Schizosaccharomyces pombe: one gene and its partner. The gene in region 1 interacts genetically with each later gene. Each region holds a gene or a part of one and is shown on either strand. Other genes may lie near its edges.

Region 1 (6,666 bases):
TCAAAGGAATTACTACTATTCCAAGCAACAAACAGCCAAAGATACTAATAATATATTCTGAAGCTTCCGATTTTCGATAATATAAAATTACTCTGGTTCCAGGTTTAAGTCCAACGTGATTTTGCGCAACAGACGCAAATTGTTTAGCTCTATTCAGGATTTTATCCCAACTGTAACTCACAGCTTCTTTCCCTTTTTTATCGATACAAATATGAGCAGTAGAAGTTGGATTTTTATTTCTTCGATACTCAAGGACAGATATAATATCCTGCAGCGCCATCATTGAAAATGTTGGATTTCGTGGATCATTAATTTCAAATCTGGCTCTACGTGGAACTGTGAATTGTAGTTTTTCAGCTGCTGTGGCAGTTGATATATCTGCAAACAGCTTCTGAGATACTTTGGCCAATTGTGGTTGCAGCTCTGCATCCCTTGCTCTTTTCACATATTTTAACACTGGGTCTGGTATTGTCTCAAAAGGCAACTTGCTTTTATCTTCATATTTCGAATGCCTTACGGGATGGATTTTTTCGTTTTCTGAAGGTTTCATAAATCTCAGCACAGTATGACTATCCTTGAAATTTTTGCATTTAGTAATTTTTTTTTATATTACTCTTACCGTTTCACTTTTATAATAGACATCGTTTGCTTTCAGCATATGCGCATCTGTTCGAAGGGCTGAACCAGCAGAACCAATTTCAGATATAACATCCTCTTCTATGTCATGCAGTTTTGTCTTCTTATTGAAGTTGAAAAATGATTTTAGACTCATTTTATGGCTCACGTTCGCATACAGTTAGGAATTGAGGATTCCAAAGCTTGTATGAGAAATGTAAACAAATCGCTTATGTTACCTGTTACCTGATTGACTTCACTAAGGATAAACAATAACATTGAATGAAGTAAAAGTGTACTAAGTTTACAAATCCTAATTCAATTTAAAAATTTAGAAAGACTATGCTCTATCCCTGTTCCCCATCATTATTCATTTATGTGCGCAATTAATTTTACAAAATTAACAGTAAATACCAATCTTTTTTATACATATTAGAACGCAAAAAGTTGGATTGTATCAGCTTTTCGAAAAAAGATGCATCTACCAGGGATCGAACCTGGGACCGTCTGCGTGTAAAGCAGAAATCATAACCACTAGACTACAGATGCAACATACAACTAACAGTACTAATTAATATAATTTATTAACTAAGAAACCTGTCTTTACTAATAACGATTGAGAAAAAAGTGATAACAACAGGCTAAGCATTATGCGCTAACTTTGTTTAATTAAAAGTAAACATTCGCAAATTTTGTTGATAACAATGGACAAATTTAGTTGAATACCCCCATATTCATCGCTGTTTATTCTACCTTTCAGAAACTGTTCTTGTTAGTCAAAAGAAACAATACCTGAATAGAAACATTTTGCGGGAATTCATTCTTGCAAATTGTAGATAATTTATTTAATTTAAAACATTTTACGCTATAAATTTAATGATAAGTTACAAATTGCCGCCTTTTTTGCTTTAACATGATGAAAGTTAATTAGTAATAAAAAAAATTATATGAACAGAAGCAAGAGACCTTAATTTAGTACGTGTGATACTATTAATGTTTATTACGTTCAAAATGATGATTGTACCTAGAAGTGCAAAATATTACTAACCGATTTTTACGCGCATGCTTCAGAACTGCTTGCATTTGTCTAACTTGAACACCACACGTTCGGTCTCATAGTATTGTTGAGTAAATAAACACAGTTACCAAAGAGAATTGAAACCTTACTTTATTAAAACTGAAATCTGAACATGAAACGAAGAGCTACTTTTCAATGTCCATTAATTGAATCTACCATAAAACATCAATCTACTAATTATACCAAAACAGAAACAGCAACTACCTCACACGAAGTATCTGAAAATGCAAATGAACATAAAGGAAAATCAAATATCGACATAAACAAAATTGCTTATTACAATGTTGTATGGTATGGTAGCACAATCTCTTTTTTGACTTCATGACTAAACGCGTCAGGAGAAAAATTACTATGAAGAAACATAAAACATGGGAAGGGGATGGCTTTCTCGTTAGAGAAGACTCAAATTTGACTCTTTATAATTCAGATTTTACAAGGTATTCCTACATGTCGAACTTACTAAAAATGAAGTCGCAAACAATATAGCATCTTTTATTGAGAGATATTTTTTATTAATATATGTTAAAGACTCGGATCCTGTCATTCGAGGGTGCCACAAATCAAAGAAGGAGAATTGCTTCGCATTTCCGGGAAAGAAATATCTGTAAGATATACATGTAAGCGAATGTTTCTCATCATCTTTAGATTGAGAAGGAAATCTCTGCAGAAAGTTATGAAGCAGGCACACATATAGATGATTCTCTCCGAGACGTTCATATGCCTGAAATGAAGCGTAAATTCAAGCCACCTTTGAGACCTAACACAATGTACCAGACAATATCAGCACTACCCAAACCGAGGCATGATCCTACTGTGCTTGGAGCTTTGGTGATGAGCAGGCCCAAGACTTGGGATCCAAGGTATGGTAAAAGTGAATGCTTGATCTAACATTACAGGACGCATGTAGATGTTGTTATTGATCCTTTCCTTTCAAAGCATCTTTATTCTCATCAGCGGGAAGGAGTTTCCTTTCTTTACGACTGTTTATTAGGAATGGAAGGAAAATGTGGATATAGTGCAATTTTGGCTGATGAAATGGGCTTAGGAAAAACGTTGCAAACTATAACAGTTGTCTGGACTTTATTGAGTATGAGACTTAGGGTTTTTTTTAACTTTCATTCTCTAATCTTATTATTTAGAGCAGTCTTATTACGCCAATCGTTCTTCGACTATAAACAATGCAATGGTCGTAGCACCTGTCACTCTTTTGAAGGTAAGAAGTTTCAAAACTTCATTACTAATGGCTAGAATTGGGAAAATGAGTTTTATAATTGGCTCGGTCACGAGCGTATTCATGTTTATATAGCTAGATGCGCTGAAGATTTCCAAGAATTTACGTCGAACAAAACTTATTCGATTATCATTACAGGATATGAAACGGTAATTCCTTTATTTATTCTTTTTTCTAATTGCTAAAGGTTTGTACGTACTTGAGAAACTATGGATGCGGGATTGATATTGATCTTCTAATTTGCGACGAAGGTATTGATTTGTTCATAAATAGTTTATTAATCTTAGCTCACCGCTTGAAGTCCATGAGTAGTCAGACTTGGATTACGCTGAATAAGCTAAAAACTAGAAAGAGGCTTCTTCTCACTGGTACGCCTTTACAAAACGGTATGAATCAGTGAATGCTATTTAATTTTAACCGCTCAGATTTGTCAGAATATTTCTCTATGGTTAACTTTATAATTCCTGGATCTCTGGGGACCCCAAATTCTTTTAAAGCTCAGTATGAGCGGCCTATATTAAGGAGTAGATCAATGAATGCTTCCTCTAGGGACATATCATTGGGAGCTGCAAGACTTCAAAGGGTTTGTTTACTAAAGATAAATTTTATACTGATTTTTAGCTTTTTGAATTTACAAGCAATTTCACGTTAAGGAGGAAAGCCAATATACTGGCTAAACATTTACCGCCAAGAAGTATGCAAATATTAAAATCAGTATTAACATAATAGCCGACATTGTTTTATTCATAAAACCAACACATCAACAAGAGAATGTTTATGGACATGTTCTCGATGGTTTCAAGTCAAGCGTTGATCAGAAGGGCTATTATCTTAAAATTTTGACTCGCTTGAGCAAGATATGCAATAGCACCATTTTATTGAGAAATGAAAAGGAAAATTTTTTGTCAACGGAGTTGCAAGATAAGCATGTATTCGAGCAAGAGAATATGTTGCTCTCCTCTAGCAAACTGCAAATATTGGCTGCGCTACTTAAAAGTTTCCAAAGGGGTTGCCAAAAAGCTGTTATTGTGTCCCAATATAAAGAAACTCTCGAGTTGATTGAATTGTTTTTATCAATTTTGCATGTCCGTTTCTGTAAATTGCTTGGAAGTACTCCTTTCTCTGAGCGTGATTTAATAGTACACAATTTCAATACTTCCAGCTTCAAAGAATTTAGTGTGCTTTTACTTTCAAGCAAAGCTGGTGGCTGCGGTTTAAATCTTACCGGATCCACTAGGTTAATAATTTACGAACCAAGTTGGAACCCTGCCCAAGATTTGCAAGCATTGTCAAGGATATATAGAAGCGGGCAAAAGCGGCCAGTCTGTATATACACATTTTTAAGGTACGACCGCTTTTACGAATAACATATTAAGTTATGCAGCAGTGGAATGCTAGATGAGCGCATTTTTATTCGCCAAAATACTAAGCAAGGGCTTTCAAGTTCGTTCATAGTATGTGATTTATTATAAAATTTTATACTGACTTGATTGTAGGATTCCGATGCAAGCCAAAAGAAGAATTTTTTTACGGGTGAAGACATCAAGACACTTTTTTCATATTCAAAAACTGAAACTTGCTTGACATATGAATTAGCATTTGATTCTGATGAAATTGATTCATTAACAAAGAAAAAAGATCCGTTAACTAAAATTGACCATACGATTGATTCCCCAAATACGAAGGAAAAAGATAAAGAAATCAGTTCTTGGAAAAAGGCTTCTGAATATATGGATACTAATTTGGTAAGTTGTATTTTCATCCTAATATTAATGGCCAGGGGAAAAAGTGTCCAGAGAACGCATTTCAAGGATGGACTTGGCAATTTCCGAATGACCTAAGTATTATGAATGGCGTAGAAGATTATATCCCTCTTGAGCCTTTACCTATCAACTGTCTAATGCATAAAAAGTTCGAATAGATCTATTTCGGACTTTTAAGGAGGCGTAAGCGGTTTTTCCTTGCCCATTAGAAACAACGCTTTTGAGCAAGCCTTCGATACTGGGCAATCTCTATGAGCAAACACCAAGGTTCTCAGTTTAATTATTTCTTCTCTTAAATCATTAGCACTTTGCAAAAGCTCCTTGTTTTCAGAAGTGTAGTAGTTGACTTGGTCTTGTAATGTTTGTAAGTACTTTTTCTTTTTTATCCTACACTTTTGGGCAGCTTGTCTGTTTCTGGCTTTCAACATTGACTGCTTAGTTCCAGTTAATTTGGAAGTGTTTTCATCACCTGAGTCATCCAGCTCTCGTGATGGTGAGTTGTGTGAAGCCTCGGAAATTATACTGGGGCTTTTAGAGGCAGTGTATTCTGATAATTCATCAAAATCGCTTCTCCTGATATTATATGGATCATTGTTAATAGGGGATCGATCGTCGCCGAGCTCTAAAGCTTTACGTTTGGCTGTCAATAAAATCTGAGTTTGCATAAATTGTGAAAAATCGAGGGTTTGGGAAATTGAGATGTCTTTTTCGAAACGAGAAAGATAAATTGAGTTGTATTCTTCTCCATCTTCATGCTTCGGAATAATGGATTCCTCGGTTGGTGTATTTGTTTCGTAGGTCATGCTGAAAATGATTTATTGATCAATAATTTTTTTAAGAAAAATTTATAGCGTCTTATGAAAGACTTCTTTTTCGCAAACGAGTAGAATTATATATTTGATTTTTTTTATGAGTTTTTGGCACCAACTTCTTTTAATAATCGATTTCAAAGTGATCACTATAAACGATAAAATTTGTACAGCTGGATAATGCCGATTAACTGGTAAATAGGTGAATTATTGAACTTTCCGTCAATATCCTTTATAACAGCTTGATACAAATATGAGCGTTTGTTTGCTCACGCGAGGTTTATATAAGTCCTTTATGAGGGAATATTAAATTCAAGCATTGTGAGGAAGTCCATGTAAACAAACACTTTTTCTTGTGAACACAACAACAAAATTATAATGCCTGGTTATTTTAAAAAATTACTATCAACAAACTGTATACAAGTATATTCGCATATGTATGCACATATTTTTGTTAGATATTATATAAGAATTTGGGTAACCAAAATTATTACTAGATATCCCTAAAAACAACATTAAACAAGACAGTTCCATCATAACCAATTTAGTCATTAACATTTAAATTTAAAAATTGTTTAATGTAATAGTTCAACAATGCGGAGGGCTAAATCCTCAGATTCACCCCTTGAACTAGCTTCCGCATACACACTACAATTAGAGTTAGAATGATAATTAACATTGAACTTACCGAACAGCATCCTCGGTTCCAGATGATCGAACAAATGCCCGACCGCCCGTGTATTTTGCTACCAAAGCGTCAATTTTTTCTTGAAGTCCTTCCGGTGTTACTAGTTTTTGTTCGGCATCAGTAGTAGTATAAATTGACCGGTCTTCTACTTCACAGCGAATTAGACGACTAGGAATTTCGCTATATAGCTGATTCCACTCTTTCAAAGTGCAATTTTTGTGAGCCAAAATGACTTCCACCAAAAGTAAATTAGTAATAGCATCTCCATCAGTTTGATTAATCAATTCAAAGACTGTTTTTAGAGTTTTTAAGGCATTAAATTGGGCTGGAGACAATACTTCATGAGAAATTATCTTTGATAATGCAGCATGAGAGACTAAAATTGTACCATGACCATTTGCTTCAAAAAATACTCCAACATCGTAAGCTTGAGCAGCATGGTAAAGATGCTTAAGACCGGGAGACACACATAAAACCGGTAC
Region 2 (2,995 bases), 2.6 Mb from region 1:
TGTTGATGAAGAGTGAGAAGTAGTGAAAGAAGGAGTGTTAGAAAGAAGGTTATAGGGAACGAAATTCGAAGATCCGAACGTGTATCCACTCATGCTAGTATTCCGGTTCATGTTCCCAGTACGGTTTCCGAAAGCGCCGGATGCCAAACCGCTTTCCACAGCGGCTTTTGAACCATTTGTTTTTCCGGATTTAGAAGATGAAGGGATCTCAGACAAAGCAATCGGCGCATTAGCGGCATATGGATCCCAAGAATTCGATTTCAATACATCTTTATTCTCAATATCAGAGTACTGTGAAGAAAAGACTGGAAGCGAATATTCTGTAGACATAAAGGATGGATGAGATTTAGAAGACTGCTCGGTCATGCTACGCTTATGTTTTGCGAAGGATTACCTGTTGTCATATATTAACAGTCCGTGGGATAAATTGTTCTTAGTGGGGGATTTTTCCCAAACTATTTCCTGTCCCGATACAAACAAAAAGATGTAGAGAAGAACGATACAACACAAAAAACACAACCTCTACTTTACTTTAAGCAGGCGACTGTACAGTGTGTGGAGTGGAAACCATGCTTACTGTGAGATGTATTGTACCGACAGCAGGTAACACTACGGGTAACGCAACTTACTAAGGAAGAAGCAGGAAGGATTTGAAAAAAAAGAGAAAATGTGAAATTTGTGCTTCGAAGACAAAAACAATTTTTTTAAATGCTAAGAATCATCCCAATTCAGTTTCGTTTCACTCTCTACATTTTTTCTTGTAAGGCGTAATGCCGTAGTTTGACAAAAAACAGATCCCATGAGGTGATTTGTAAGATACAACACCCGTTGGTATGCCTTTTAATGTTTTTAATAACATGTCTTAATGATTTTTATTGGGAGGACGGCTGAGAGAAATTGACGGCAGTCAGTGCATCCATTCCTTCGTTGCACATGTTGATTTTACTTTTACTCGAGAATAACGCCAGGCGGTTCTTTTTTTTAAGCAATAACTACATCATTCGAACATTAATTAATGCTTATAAGAGCTCTTCAAAAGTATCTATAAAGGTTGAGCCAGCTGGTATTTTTATGTCGGCAACTTGATACAATTGTTGTGTATGATTAGTCGCTACATATTTATTTCATAGATTTTCAGTGAAAATCAAATTTATTTTTGGATTCCTTCTTCAAAACTCATAAACAGCCGTCAACTTGTAAACAGAGGCTCACTAATAGATGACGCAATTTTCGCTTAACAACTGCTTAATGCACTCTAAAGATGATAGGTAAACAAGGTCTACTACTTTAGCAGATTAAGACAGTGAGCTGTATTTTGAATAAACATATGTATAAAAAAGCACATCTATTCCTCAAAAGCGTAATTTTTTTATTTTTATAGGTGATATCTTTACAACGTTGTGGGCGTTAAAGATTGTTATGTAAAGCAAAACAGAGAACTTGCTTAAGATTCTCTGAATTTTTAGGTTTCCCTAAAAAACCCACTGTTGGTTTATTTAATTTTCATTTAAGTCTGAAAAAGTCTTGTTTGTGCTATCAGAAAATGCAGTCGTCAATAGAGGATGTCCAAGCTAATATCAAATAGGTGTGGATTTCTTTGTGTAAAAGAAGTCGATTCCTATTCTTTTTTTTAATCTTTTTTGATTTCAAATTTACACTTTTAATAGGTTGTTGGCTTTAATGTCTATCCTCTTATTATTATATGTGGTGTGTTCATATTTTATGCACCTCTTCTTCTACAAACGACGCGTTTTAAAAAAAAATCCTTTCACCCATCCTAAATGATACTGATTTAAACAAAATGCATTTATTAACTACGACGCTTATTTCTTTTGAACAAAACAAAGTAGAATATTTAACCCAAATCGCGATTTATACTCAAACACCTGTATGCACTGATTCAAACTGTGAGCATGCTAGATTTTTAAAACACAGCCTTATTCAAGTTTCAATTGAAAGGATAGAATATTTATACTCGATATTTCCGAATATATGGCAATTCGCTTTGCTTTGCCAAGGTCAAAATAAAGAATCATTGATACATATGGAAGAAGACGCCAGCACGAATTTCAAACTACGATATTGTAAGTTCTGTCTATCAGTATAATGAAACATAATTTCAAAACCTCCCATTACCCATTTTTGACCTAGTTGATTTAATTTAAAAAAAAAAATTTATTAGAGAACGAAAAAAAAATCCGAAGCTATATATTTACTAATGCTAAATGAGTTTAGATGTACTTCCATGGTCTAGAAGACTGCAAGGATACCAGAGCATTACAGTTCAAAATGGTTCCCATGTGCCTTTAGTCAAACGATTGGAAAAGTGGAGGATATTCGTAGAATGTTAACATATAAACATAAGAAAAAAAAAAGACTGCAGAATACAAGAGATCAATGTCATTAATCAATGTTTACACTTTCAAACTCGTCAGAAGATTGTATAATTTCTGCTTCTTTGTTGGGTATTAGATTGTCATCAGCCGTAGGTTCCGAACTTTGCTTAACTGTAGTAATATTTAGATCTTCTTCTTTATCGAGCGCATTCAGTTGCAAGTTAGTAGTATGCGCTTTTTCTGGCTCTAAGACTTCAGAAACTTGAGGGATTTCCTCAATTGCACCGTTAGTACCAATATCTTCAGCTGCTGCGGGAGATGGCTTATCATCGTCTGAATTTTCCTTAGTATCTAAAGGGGCTTCGATTATTTTCTCATCTGTCAAGCCATTCGCATTTTCAGAATTAGCATTGTTTTTTTCAACCTCTTCGTTAGTTGCAGGTCCTTCTTGATTCAATAAAGATTTAACAGCGTTCTCTTCAATTATTTCGTTAGGTTCAGCTTCTTCCTCATTCGCTGAGGATTCAACAGTACTCTTTGTAACTGCTTCACCGGAGGTAGTTTCTTCTTGATTGATTAAAGATTCAGCGGCTGTATTATTTTCTTCTTTTTCATCTTCAAGTCCTTCAGTCTCCGGGGTATTGTTTTCTTCGTTCACG

The links.
Region 2: of rdh54 (region 1) and bqt1, changing one enhances a phenotype caused by changing the other (phenotypic enhancement), as found in Schizosaccharomyces pombe (one study listed by BioGRID).

Annotation. Positions count from the first base shown.
Region 1 is NC_003424.3:701,984-708,649, forward strand, and holds rdh54 (ATP-dependent DNA translocase Rdh54), read left to right. Parts: upstream 1-1,709; 5' UTR 1,710-1,805; coding exon 1,806-1,984; intron 1,985-2,031; coding exon 2,032-2,130; intron 2,131-2,221; coding exon 2,222-2,297; exon of another isoform or gene 2,298-2,338; coding exon 2,339-2,553; exon of another isoform or gene 2,554-2,589; coding exon 2,590-2,780; intron 2,781-2,832; coding exon 2,833-2,906; intron 2,907-2,941; coding exon 2,942-3,073; exon of another isoform or gene 3,074-3,111; coding exon 3,112-3,175; exon of another isoform or gene 3,176-3,211; coding exon 3,212-3,310; exon of another isoform or gene 3,311-3,349; coding exon 3,350-3,507; exon of another isoform or gene 3,508-3,545; coding exon 3,546-3,618; exon of another isoform or gene 3,619-3,653; coding exon 3,654-4,269; exon of another isoform or gene 4,270-4,308; coding exon 4,309-4,378; exon of another isoform or gene 4,379-4,420; coding exon 4,421-4,669; exon of another isoform or gene 4,670-4,704; coding exon 4,705-4,845; 3' UTR 4,846-4,860; coding exon of another isoform or gene 4,861-5,490; 3' UTR 5,491-6,007; downstream 6,008-6,666. Other genes in the region: mug62 (putative AMP binding enzyme), read right to left, coding at 1-574, 620-772; DNA-binding transcription factor Atf31, read right to left, coding at 4,861-5,490; SPOM_SPAC1296.01C (phosphoacetylglucosamine mutase), read right to left, coding at 6,072-6,144, 6,185-6,666.
Region 2 is NC_003424.3:3,271,506-3,274,500, reverse strand, and holds bqt1 (bouquet formation protein Bqt1), read left to right. Parts: upstream 1-1,801; coding exon 1,802-2,084; intron 2,085-2,133; exon of another isoform or gene 2,134-2,235; coding exon 2,236-2,351; 3' UTR 2,352-2,403; downstream 2,404-2,995. Other genes in the region: puf4 (RNA-binding protein), read right to left, coding at 1-366; CHS5-like protein Cfr1, read right to left, coding at 2,404-2,995.